Neurospora crassa OR74A: one gene and its partner. The protein of the gene in region 1 purifies or fractionates together with the protein of each later gene. This does not show direct contact. Links are inferred from orthologs where the notes say so. Each region holds a gene or a part of one and is shown on either strand. Other genes may lie near its edges.

Region 1 (4,689 bases):
CCAAAGACCAGACAAATCTGAACCGCAATGACATTCAGGGCATTGAGAATACTAAACTGCAGCAAGATCATCGAATGTGTGTCTTCTAGCTGGCCGTTGAAAACTGTGACAGACAAAATATCTACCATGTCAGACCCAAATAAAATTGGAAGAGCCCCCCTTACGCCCATTGCCATGAAACCCCATATTGTACTTGTTAACCTGTACACCCAAAGAAAAATAAAATAGCAGAGCAAGAACGCTTCGGTTTTGCTTTTCTTTTCTCTTTTTTTCGTCGGAACATCTTCGAAAAACACTCCGTCATTTCCCCACCATCCCTTCTACGCGCCATTCCTATAAACCTGCGCGCCCTGGTTCCTAAACATAATGGTATCCCGCCTCTGCAACATCATCAGCGCCCTATTCAGCGCCACCTCGCTAAACCCTTTACCCTCCACCATTTCCCTGCGCAGGGTCGCCAAGCTGGTGCTCCAGCCGATGGGCAAGCGGCGCTTCAGCTCGGCCTCGACGCGGGACGTCTCCTCGTTCAACTCCCGATTGCTGCCCGTGCTGCCACCTTGGTTGACGGCGTCCATGGTCGAGCACAGGAATAGCCGGATGGCCTCGTCCACGTGCTTCTCCGTCGCGACGGGCGAGAGCGTCAGCTTGGCGAGCGACTCGGTGATGCGCACAATGGCTTCGAGCTGGCGGACCGTGATGGGAATCGAGGAGCGCGCGTTGGCTTCAAGCTCTGAGGCGTGCACTTGCTTGCGGATGGCGACGAAGTGCGAGGAGAGCTTCTCGGCGGCTTCCGGAGAGAGGCGCGGGGCGCAGCGGCTGGAGGAGCGACAATGTCAGTTTTTATGTGTCTAAGGTGGTAGATAGGAGCATAAACAACTTACGATCGGCAATAGCTGATGTACCGCCTCATCTTCTCGACCGGGATCTCTGCCTCAATCCGCTCCTCGACACCACGACCACCCATATGGATACCCATAACGTGCTTGGCGATGCGCTCATCACGGCCGCGCTCGTGCTCATCCTTGACGATGAAGATCATGTCGAAACGCGACAAGATGGTGGTCTGAAAGTCGATGTTCTCGCCCGGGGTCTTCATGTCGTCGTAGCGGCCAAAGATGGGGTTAGCGGCGGCCAAGACCGAAGTTCGAGCATTGAGGATCGTGGTGATGCCGGCCTTGGCGATGGAAATGGTTTGTTGCTCCATAGCTTCGTGTATTGCCACTCTGTCCTCATCGCGCATCTTGTCGAACTCATCGATACAGACGACACCGCCGTCAGCGAGAACCATGGCACCGCCTTCGAGGTAGAACTCGCGCGTGGAAGCGTCACGCTGGACGGAAGCCGTCAAACCGGCGGCGGAGGAACCCTTGCCGGAGGTGTAGATGGCGATAGGAGCGACTTTTTCGACGAACTTGAGCAGTTGTGACTTGGCCGTACCGGGATCACCAAGCATGAGGACGTTGATATCACCACGAAGCCTCATGCCATCTGGAAGGATCTTCTTGGAGCCACCCATGAGTAAACAGAGGATAGCCTTTTTGATATCCTTATTTCCATAGATGGACGGCGCGATGCATTCGGCCATGACATTGTAGAGATCTGGACGACGGCTAAGCTCAAGGAACTCCTGCTCTTCCTCCTCGGAAAAGACAGCCAGACCCTTGGCTGTTTGGTCAATGTCTGTCTGGATACCGACTGCGCGGAGATAGGGTGTGCGAATGGCGACGGCGCCGCTTGTGGACTTCTTGTTGCCTCCACTTTGGTATATAGAAAAAATACCCATGACGGTACACCTTGAGCCGGGCACCACGCGGTTCGTGAGGTAGCGGTCGGCGGAAATCAGGACATGGCGGGGCAGTTCACCGACGGGAACTTGGTCTGGAGCTTCCTGAAGCTTGATAATTTGCTGATCGACGAATCTGGACTTTTCATGTTGTACAAAGTAGGGATCCATTGGGCACTTCTCGCCAGGGTCCCCAGGTGCCCTGATTCTGCCACATGTCCTGGGAAGGGTAGCGCCACTGAAGCCGCCGGATACGTGAACGTGTTGGACGTGGCCGCAGTTGCGGCACTGGACGTGGAGCTCAGTCGCCTTGGACGACATTACCGAGGCACCAATGACGATACCAGGTACCCGGACCAGCCGGGAGATTGTAAGGGAGTCGAGGTTACGGATAGAAACATCTTCGGCGTTGGAGTGTAGAAGCAGTTGGTGGTCGGGCAGGTCTATCTTGGGTTCGTTTGGGAAGACGATTCGGTGTGTGCAGCGCTTCAGAGCGGCCTCGAACAGAGGGATAATCTCGGCGGGTTCGGTGACTAGTCTATGGGCAATTTCTTCATTGAATTTGATCAAGTCGCCAATGTTGACATCGCAGTAGTATTTCTTTAGAAGGGCATTTTCTCGTAGTTGGTCTCTGGAAGGAGTAATGTTAACAGGAAGCTCGACAGAGGACAGGAGTATGCTACACAGAGTACGAACCTGTAGATAAAGCTGTTATCTAGTCGGAAGTCGAGAATGAAAGCCTCGAGCTGGGCGCGAATGTGCTGGTTGCTGTCCTCCTCTGGTACATATGAAGAAGCAGCGCCGGCGTAGGTCCGGGCTGAGAAGACGGACTGATAATCCATAGCTGACGGTGGCTTGGTATGTGATTGTTTTGTTTACTCGCGTGCACTGGCCGTAGATGTTCGCACCGGGAGAATTGTAGAAAATAGCAGAGAAGGGAGGGGTTGTTGGGGGCAGAAAGACAACTAACAGAGGGAGAATCCAAAATGGCAAAACATGTGCGAAAACCGCGACGCGAGAAACATTGATACTGCACACCCAAGACGCGATTTTTGGCAGGGGTTTTAATGGGCACCCCACTTGTAGCTGAATGGCAGGTACCTGACGGCTCAGCAGGCAGGCCCCCTGAAGTGCGGAGGAAAAGGAGTGCTTAAAAGGATATCCAGCTAGGGGGGGTTCACCCTCCAGACACTTTTGCAGCAACCGGTGCAAGACCCAGCTTTGTGGCCCGCTCAAATACATACCACAGTATACTTACTGCGTAGGTAATCATCAGTGGCGGGCGGAGCTTCATTCAACTGCGCTACGTATCCCGAACAAGGGTCCTGTGGGATCCAATGCCCGCTGCGTGGCTTCCGCTGTGAATTGGGGGGACCTTGACATTCGACAGGCAGCTCCGAGTCCCTGACCTCAACACCTGCTCGCGTCGAGACTACAGCTTTGCGCCTCTTCTTGGCCATCTTCTGTGGAAAATACAATCTGGTTCTTGTCTTGTTCTCGTTTCGCTATGATACCCCCGTGACCCTTCGCAGTAACCGCCCATACTCTGGACCACGATAGCCTCAACGCCACCTACCTTGGTTGCTTCCCTTGGCCTGCCGGCCCGCGCCTACAGCTCGATAGACTAATACCGATTACCGAACCCCCTCCCCATCTTCCCACGTCGCCAATCCACCGGCGCATGACCAACGGCCATTTCGTCTTCCCCTGAGCTTAGGCCTAGGACTTCCGGGAGACTTATGAGCCATCATGTTCTCCAACCAGGGTGCTCGCAAGTCGGTCGATAGTCTTTCGCCAATACCCGATGCCGGGCGGTTTGGCGACTTTCCTTTCCACGGGTGCGATGCGCTTTGTCTGTCCATGCCCTTTCCGTAATATACACTAACATCTCCTTGAAGGAGAGGCTCACGCAGTCCGAGCCGCCCGTTCCATTCTCGACGGGATTCGACGGCGGGCTCCATACACTCCATCGGTGGCTCTCTCGACAGTTCCACTGGTACCTGGGGTGACGCCGTCCTAGAGTCCGGTCAGAACGCCATCTCAACCCTGCTCCAACCGCCCATAGTCCGAACCGGCCTCCTTCCCCATACCTCAGCACCCGCTTCCACTGCGCATAAGCCTCCGACTGCTCGAGACATTCCACCTGTCACGCTCACCAATGTCCCTCGCATTGACAATTCCGAATTCACACAATATCTCACCCAAGTCGGCGCGTTATACGAACAATTACGACGGGTTCAGGCAGACGAAGAAGAGGCATCTGGTACTCACAGCAGACGAGGTAGCAAGGCGGACGCAACCTCAGCCGAGGATGGCCACCTACGACCGGGCAAACGATCTGGCGCATCCAGGAGGGCATCCAGCTCATCCATTACGTCCATATCATCGATAGAAGCCCCGGGTCCCGCTCGACGCAGCTCAAGCTACAGGAAAGCGGCATCGCAAGGTCCTCCACCATTATCCACCATTCCCGTGGTATACTTTGACGAAGACTTTCACCTCGAGAACCCCCGAACTTTCGATGTCGTCAGTGAGCGATCCGAAGTGGTACGACCCGCGCCGGGATCCGATGACCGAGCGCACCACAATGGGCAGGTCTCCGCGCCTCGGAAGGCTCTTGCGACAAATGCCATCTTGCAGGAGAAGCTGTCATGGTATATGGACACCGTCGAAATGCACCTTATCCAGTCGATTTCAACCGCGTCAACCACCTTTTTCACTGCGCTGGGGTCTCTTAGGGAACTGCATTCAGAAGCCGCAGACTCCGTGGACAGAATCAAGACACTGAGGAGAGAGCTAGAGAATTTGGATGAGGAGATTGCAACCAGGGGTTTGGATATCGTGCACCAACGGCGGAGACGGGAGAACATCCAACGATTGCACGATGCAGTCATGCAGCTTCGGGA
Region 2 (4,435 bases), about 1.4 Mb from region 1:
GTGTCAAGCGTCTCCTGACTGGTCTGCAGACCGCTGATGATCTCGACTCCCTTCTGAACGGGCACGGGGTTCATGAAGTGCGTGGACACGACGCGCGAGCTGTTGGAGGTGTCGTTGGGGTCCTTGGTGGTTGAGGCGGCGATGCGCGTGATGGAGATGGAAGAGGTGTTGGTGGCTAAGATGGCGTGCTTAGGGCAGATCTCGGCCAGCTTGGAGAAGATGTCGAACTTGAGCTTGGGAATCTCAGGCACAGCTTCAATCACAAAATCGACGCTGTCCAGGTCCTCGAGGATGGTGGTGGGCTGGAGGAGCGCGCGGGCGGCGTCCGCCTCATCCTGAGTGATGCGTTGCTTGGCCACATCCTTGCTGAGGAGCTTGTCGGCGAATGCAAGGCCCTTGTCTAGAGACGTTTCAGAGGCATCCACAAGGGTGACGGGGACTCTGGCCTTGGTGGCGGCGACGAGGGCGATGCCCAGGCCCTAAAGGAGAAGGAGGACAAGTCAGCCGTTGCCGTTGTTGAAGACATGGGCATGAATGATATGGGCCGGACTCACCATCTGGCCGGCGCCAACGACACCGAGCCTCTTGACCTCGGCAGCGTTGCGGGCGCATGTCGAGCTGAAGGCGCGAGCGCCCATGGGCAGCTTCTGGACGAGGGTTCTAGCAAGCATTTTGCGAGATCGTCACGGCGAAAGTAAACAAAGCAGACACTGTGACTGAGAGAGACTGAAAGGAAAGGGACAGAAAAATCGGAAGACTACACCTAGGTAGGCAACCAGGGCACCTCTAGAGAATGCGAATGCGACGATGTGAAGTTGTCGGATTCGGTTAACCTCGGCCGTCCTCGTCTCCAACTCGACGTCACAAGCCCGACCCGGGCCACGGGGGGGACATAACATACTGCCGTACAGGAGCTACGGGCGGCTCTAGCCTTTTCTTAGGCGGGGAAAATGGGGTCGGTTTTAGCGCGTATGGAGTACTATGTACGCTACCTAGAGGTACAAGCATGTCGTTCAGGGGGGGCAATTGCGGGCATGATTCCCGCGCCAACTCAAGATCCTCGGCTGTCGTTGATTGCCCGTCCACAGGGGTAACTCCGCAGCTCTCCACGAGGTCGAAATCGGGGTGCACAGGTACTGCTGCAGAGGTATCTCTAGTAGGTAGCTAGGTACATTAGGTACCTACTTACCCAGGTATCTTAAAACAGTCCGACAAAACGCTTGGGGAGATAAGCAGGCCAAGACCAAGATACCACCAATTTCCATTAAAAAGTACGACACGGTCGGCGCGTCTCCCACCACCACAAACGCGTGTCCCGTCCCGACAAAGTGCGCCCGACCAATGCCACCATCCATGCGATAACAAAACGACCTCCAAGACAAGCTGAGAGTTGGGGAGAGTCTGTCTAGTACTCGTATGACTCCGTTCTGGTCTTGGACGCCGTGATTTCTGCGCAAAATGGAGGCCGCAGACATCAACGACGATGTCGTCCATCCGGAAGTGCGGGCGCACATCACCAACCTGGTTTCTGCGGTATGTCCACTTCTGGACTCGTTATATACACGGATGTACTGACTCTGGCGACCCGAATAGCTCGGTGGTTACAGCGCGGACGATGATGGAAGCTACAAGCTCGGTGACGAAGCGCTAGACGTCTTGCGCGACCTGAAGAAATGGATCCGATTCTACGATGAAAAGACCAATCGCATGGACGTCGCCAGATGTCTGGCTGAAGCGAACCTCGTCGGCGGCGATCTGCTCCAGATCCTGACATTATGGCCTCAAAGCGAAACCGACAGCAAGTACAAGGCCCGTATTGCTCTGGCGTGTTTCGAGGTCATGGTGCCCCTTACTTGGCCCATAGAGAAGGAGCGCGCCGAAATGACCATCAACCACCATCGTCACATGCCCGTTCTGCAGCTTGCCCAGCTTGGCTACAAGCGCGCCATCATAAACTTCGATGCGATACCCATCCTCAACACCGCCGTCAGGGTAGCCCTTCCCTCCATGGCCATGCCTATCGGCGAGCGGACACCCCGTGACCAGGCCATCATCAAGCTCATTCTCTTCTTTTTGAGGAACGTTGCCATGATCGCACCCCCGCAAGGTGTCAAATGCGAAGGCGACGAGACACAGGTATCCAGGTCGGCAACCATTGATGCCTTTTCGTATCAAGACATATTTCTCACTCTGCTGACCCTTGCCTCCAACATGGGCGAGGACTTCCGCACCGAAGATGTAGTTATCATGGAAATCATCTTTCATCTTGTAAAAAGAGTTGACCCCAGCTCGCTCTTCGTCAGTGAAAAGCAACTCAACAAAGCCAAGGGGCAAGAGCTGGCATCGGAGATGCGCAAGGAGGCTGCTATGCTAAAATCCTACAACAAAACCACCACCACTCGGCACAGTCGATTTGGGACCATGATCTGGGTGAAACGAGCAGATGGCAAGATGGTGACGGTATCTGGCCAAGAGGCTCTTTTGGACGCAAAAACGCGAGAGAGGAAGATGGATAACTCCAAAACATTCAGACCGCCAAGAAGAGCGAGGAAACCCGAGATGGAGCCCAAGGACCTTGGCCCTCCGGTGACGCTAGATGAAAGAGCTCGTCAGCAGCTGCGATCATTCGTCCAAGACTTCCTCGACTCCGGTTTCAACCCCTTGTTTCTGCACGTGAGGCAATCGATCGATCGGGAGGCATTGCATGCATTGAACCAGCATAAGAGCCAGTTCTTTTACCTTGTCGCCTGGTTCCTCGAAGCCGAGCGGATGCGGAGAAAGGCCAAGAGGGACGAGTCGAAGTCGACGTCCGCAGCCGGAGAGGAGGTGAACAGTTTTAACCTCGTTGCTGCTGTGCTCCAACAGGAAATGTTCGCTTCCATGAATCGTGCGCTTGACCGGTCCTATAGTGATAAGGATTGGCAACTGCTCACGTCCGTCATGCGCTGTTACACCCAGATCTTCCTCACAGTCCAGGAGATGTCAGAGTCTCCCAACGAGGAAGACCAGGAGATTGCCGAAAACACCCTGAGCCGTCTCTTTTACGAGGAGACAACCCACGACCTTATCGCGAATATTGCTCGAACATACAAGGATCAAGGCTTCGAATATCTTGATGCCGCGACCGAGCTTGTCCACACTTTCCTCCGCATTTTAGAAGGTTACTCTAAGCAAAATGTCGATTTGCAGGTGCGCTCACGGAAGCGAGCTCGCCGAAAGAAGAAGGCTGCCAAAGCTGCTGCTGCTGTTGCTGCAGCTAGAGCCGCCGGTGAGGAAGCAGAAGACGTTGGCGTTCCCGAGGACAATGATGCCGATGATTCTGGGGACGATGAGCAACATGCAGAGCGGGTCACTCAGGAGCGCAAGTTCGAGTTTGGGAAATTCGCCATTCGATTCGCTCCCCAGGGTGTTGTCGACACATTTGTCGCCTTCACCAAATTCTACCGGGATTTGAACGACGCACAGCTGAAGCGCGCTCATCGCTACTTCTACCGCGTTGCCTTCAAACTCGAGCTGAGCATCATGCTATTCCGACTAGACATCATCAATCTCTTTTACAACATGGTCCAAGGTCCCGAGCCCCTCGACAAAAGCTCGCCGATGTTCAAGGAATGGGAGGAGCTCTCCAAGCAGATCATTCGGAAATGTGTCAAAAAGCTTCAAGAGCGGCCTGCGTTGTTCACCGAGTTGCTCTTTTCCAAGATTGGCAGCACGACGCACTTCCTTGAGCACGGCTATGAGAAGCCTGTCACCACAACTACGCCACGACCTGGTGCCGAGCTGGAGTTCAAGCGAGCCACAGAGCGCGACGAGCAGATTGGCATTGCGGTCAGCGTACTCATCGACAAACAGCAAGTCGAGCATCTGCAGTGGCTCAAGGATCAGCTGACAAGTGCAATGAGTGAGCGGCAAGCATGGGAGAACGTAGACAAGGCCATGGCAGCCACTACCGAGGGGGCGGCTGATGGTGAAGCTGCCGACGAGAGATCCAACAAATCAGCACCACCACATATCACGATCCGCCCTGATACCGAGGCTCGCCGCACAGCCATGTTCAAGAACCCGCACCTCCGTCTTCTCATGCGTCTAGTCGGTATGGAGCGTCTCACGCCTACTCTCGACGAGACCCCCGACTCGACCTGGATTCTCCCAGGCAGCCACACCGCCGAGGCGATCCAAGATACCATCGACCTCATCAACAAGGCCGAGTTCTCCCCTCCCACCTTTGAGGACGGCGGCTCAGCCGAAGACCAGCTCCGGCGCAAGTCCGCCGCCGCTTCTCGCAGGACGCGTGCCGCATATGACGATGATGAGGAAGAAATTCGCGGATTCCTCGGTGACGATGACGACGAAGACTTTCTCTTTGCGCCCGGCGGTCCTACCGCTCGCAAGCCGGACGCTAGGCCGCAGAAGAAGCGTCAGCGCAAGCGCCGAA

Evidence for each region.
Region 2: the proteins of NCU01171 (region 1) and NCU09552 purify together in Saccharomyces cerevisiae (affinity purification with mass spectrometry; 3 studies listed by BioGRID). This does not show direct contact. The link is inferred for Neurospora crassa OR74A from reciprocal best matches to the Saccharomyces cerevisiae genes MCM5 and TOF1.

Annotation. Positions count from the first base shown.
Region 1 is NC_026505.1:3,119,076-3,123,764, forward strand, and holds NCU01171 (DNA replication licensing factor mcm5), read right to left. Parts: upstream 2,845-4,689; 5' UTR 2,626-2,844; coding exon 2,480-2,625; intron 2,415-2,479; coding exon 882-2,414; intron 817-881; coding exon 321-816; 3' UTR 8-320; downstream 1-7. Other genes in the region: NCU01172 (GARP complex component), read left to right, coding at 3,533-3,621, 3,682-4,689. UniProt on the Saccharomyces cerevisiae protein: Acts as a component of the MCM2-7 complex (MCM complex) which is the putative replicative helicase essential for 'once per cell cycle' DNA replication initiation and elongation in eukaryotic cells.
Region 2 is NC_026505.1:4,563,806-4,568,240, reverse strand, and holds the start of NCU09552 (topoisomerase 1-associated factor 1), read left to right. Parts: upstream 1-1,289; 5' UTR 1,290-1,458; coding exon 1,459-1,533; intron 1,534-1,593; coding exon 1,594-4,435. Other genes in the region: NCU09553 (3-hydroxybutyryl CoA dehydrogenase), read right to left, coding at 1-479, 555-671. UniProt on the Saccharomyces cerevisiae protein: Forms a fork protection complex (FPC) with CSM3 and which is required for chromosome segregation during meiosis and DNA damage repair. FPC coordinates leading and lagging strand synthesis and moves with the replication fork.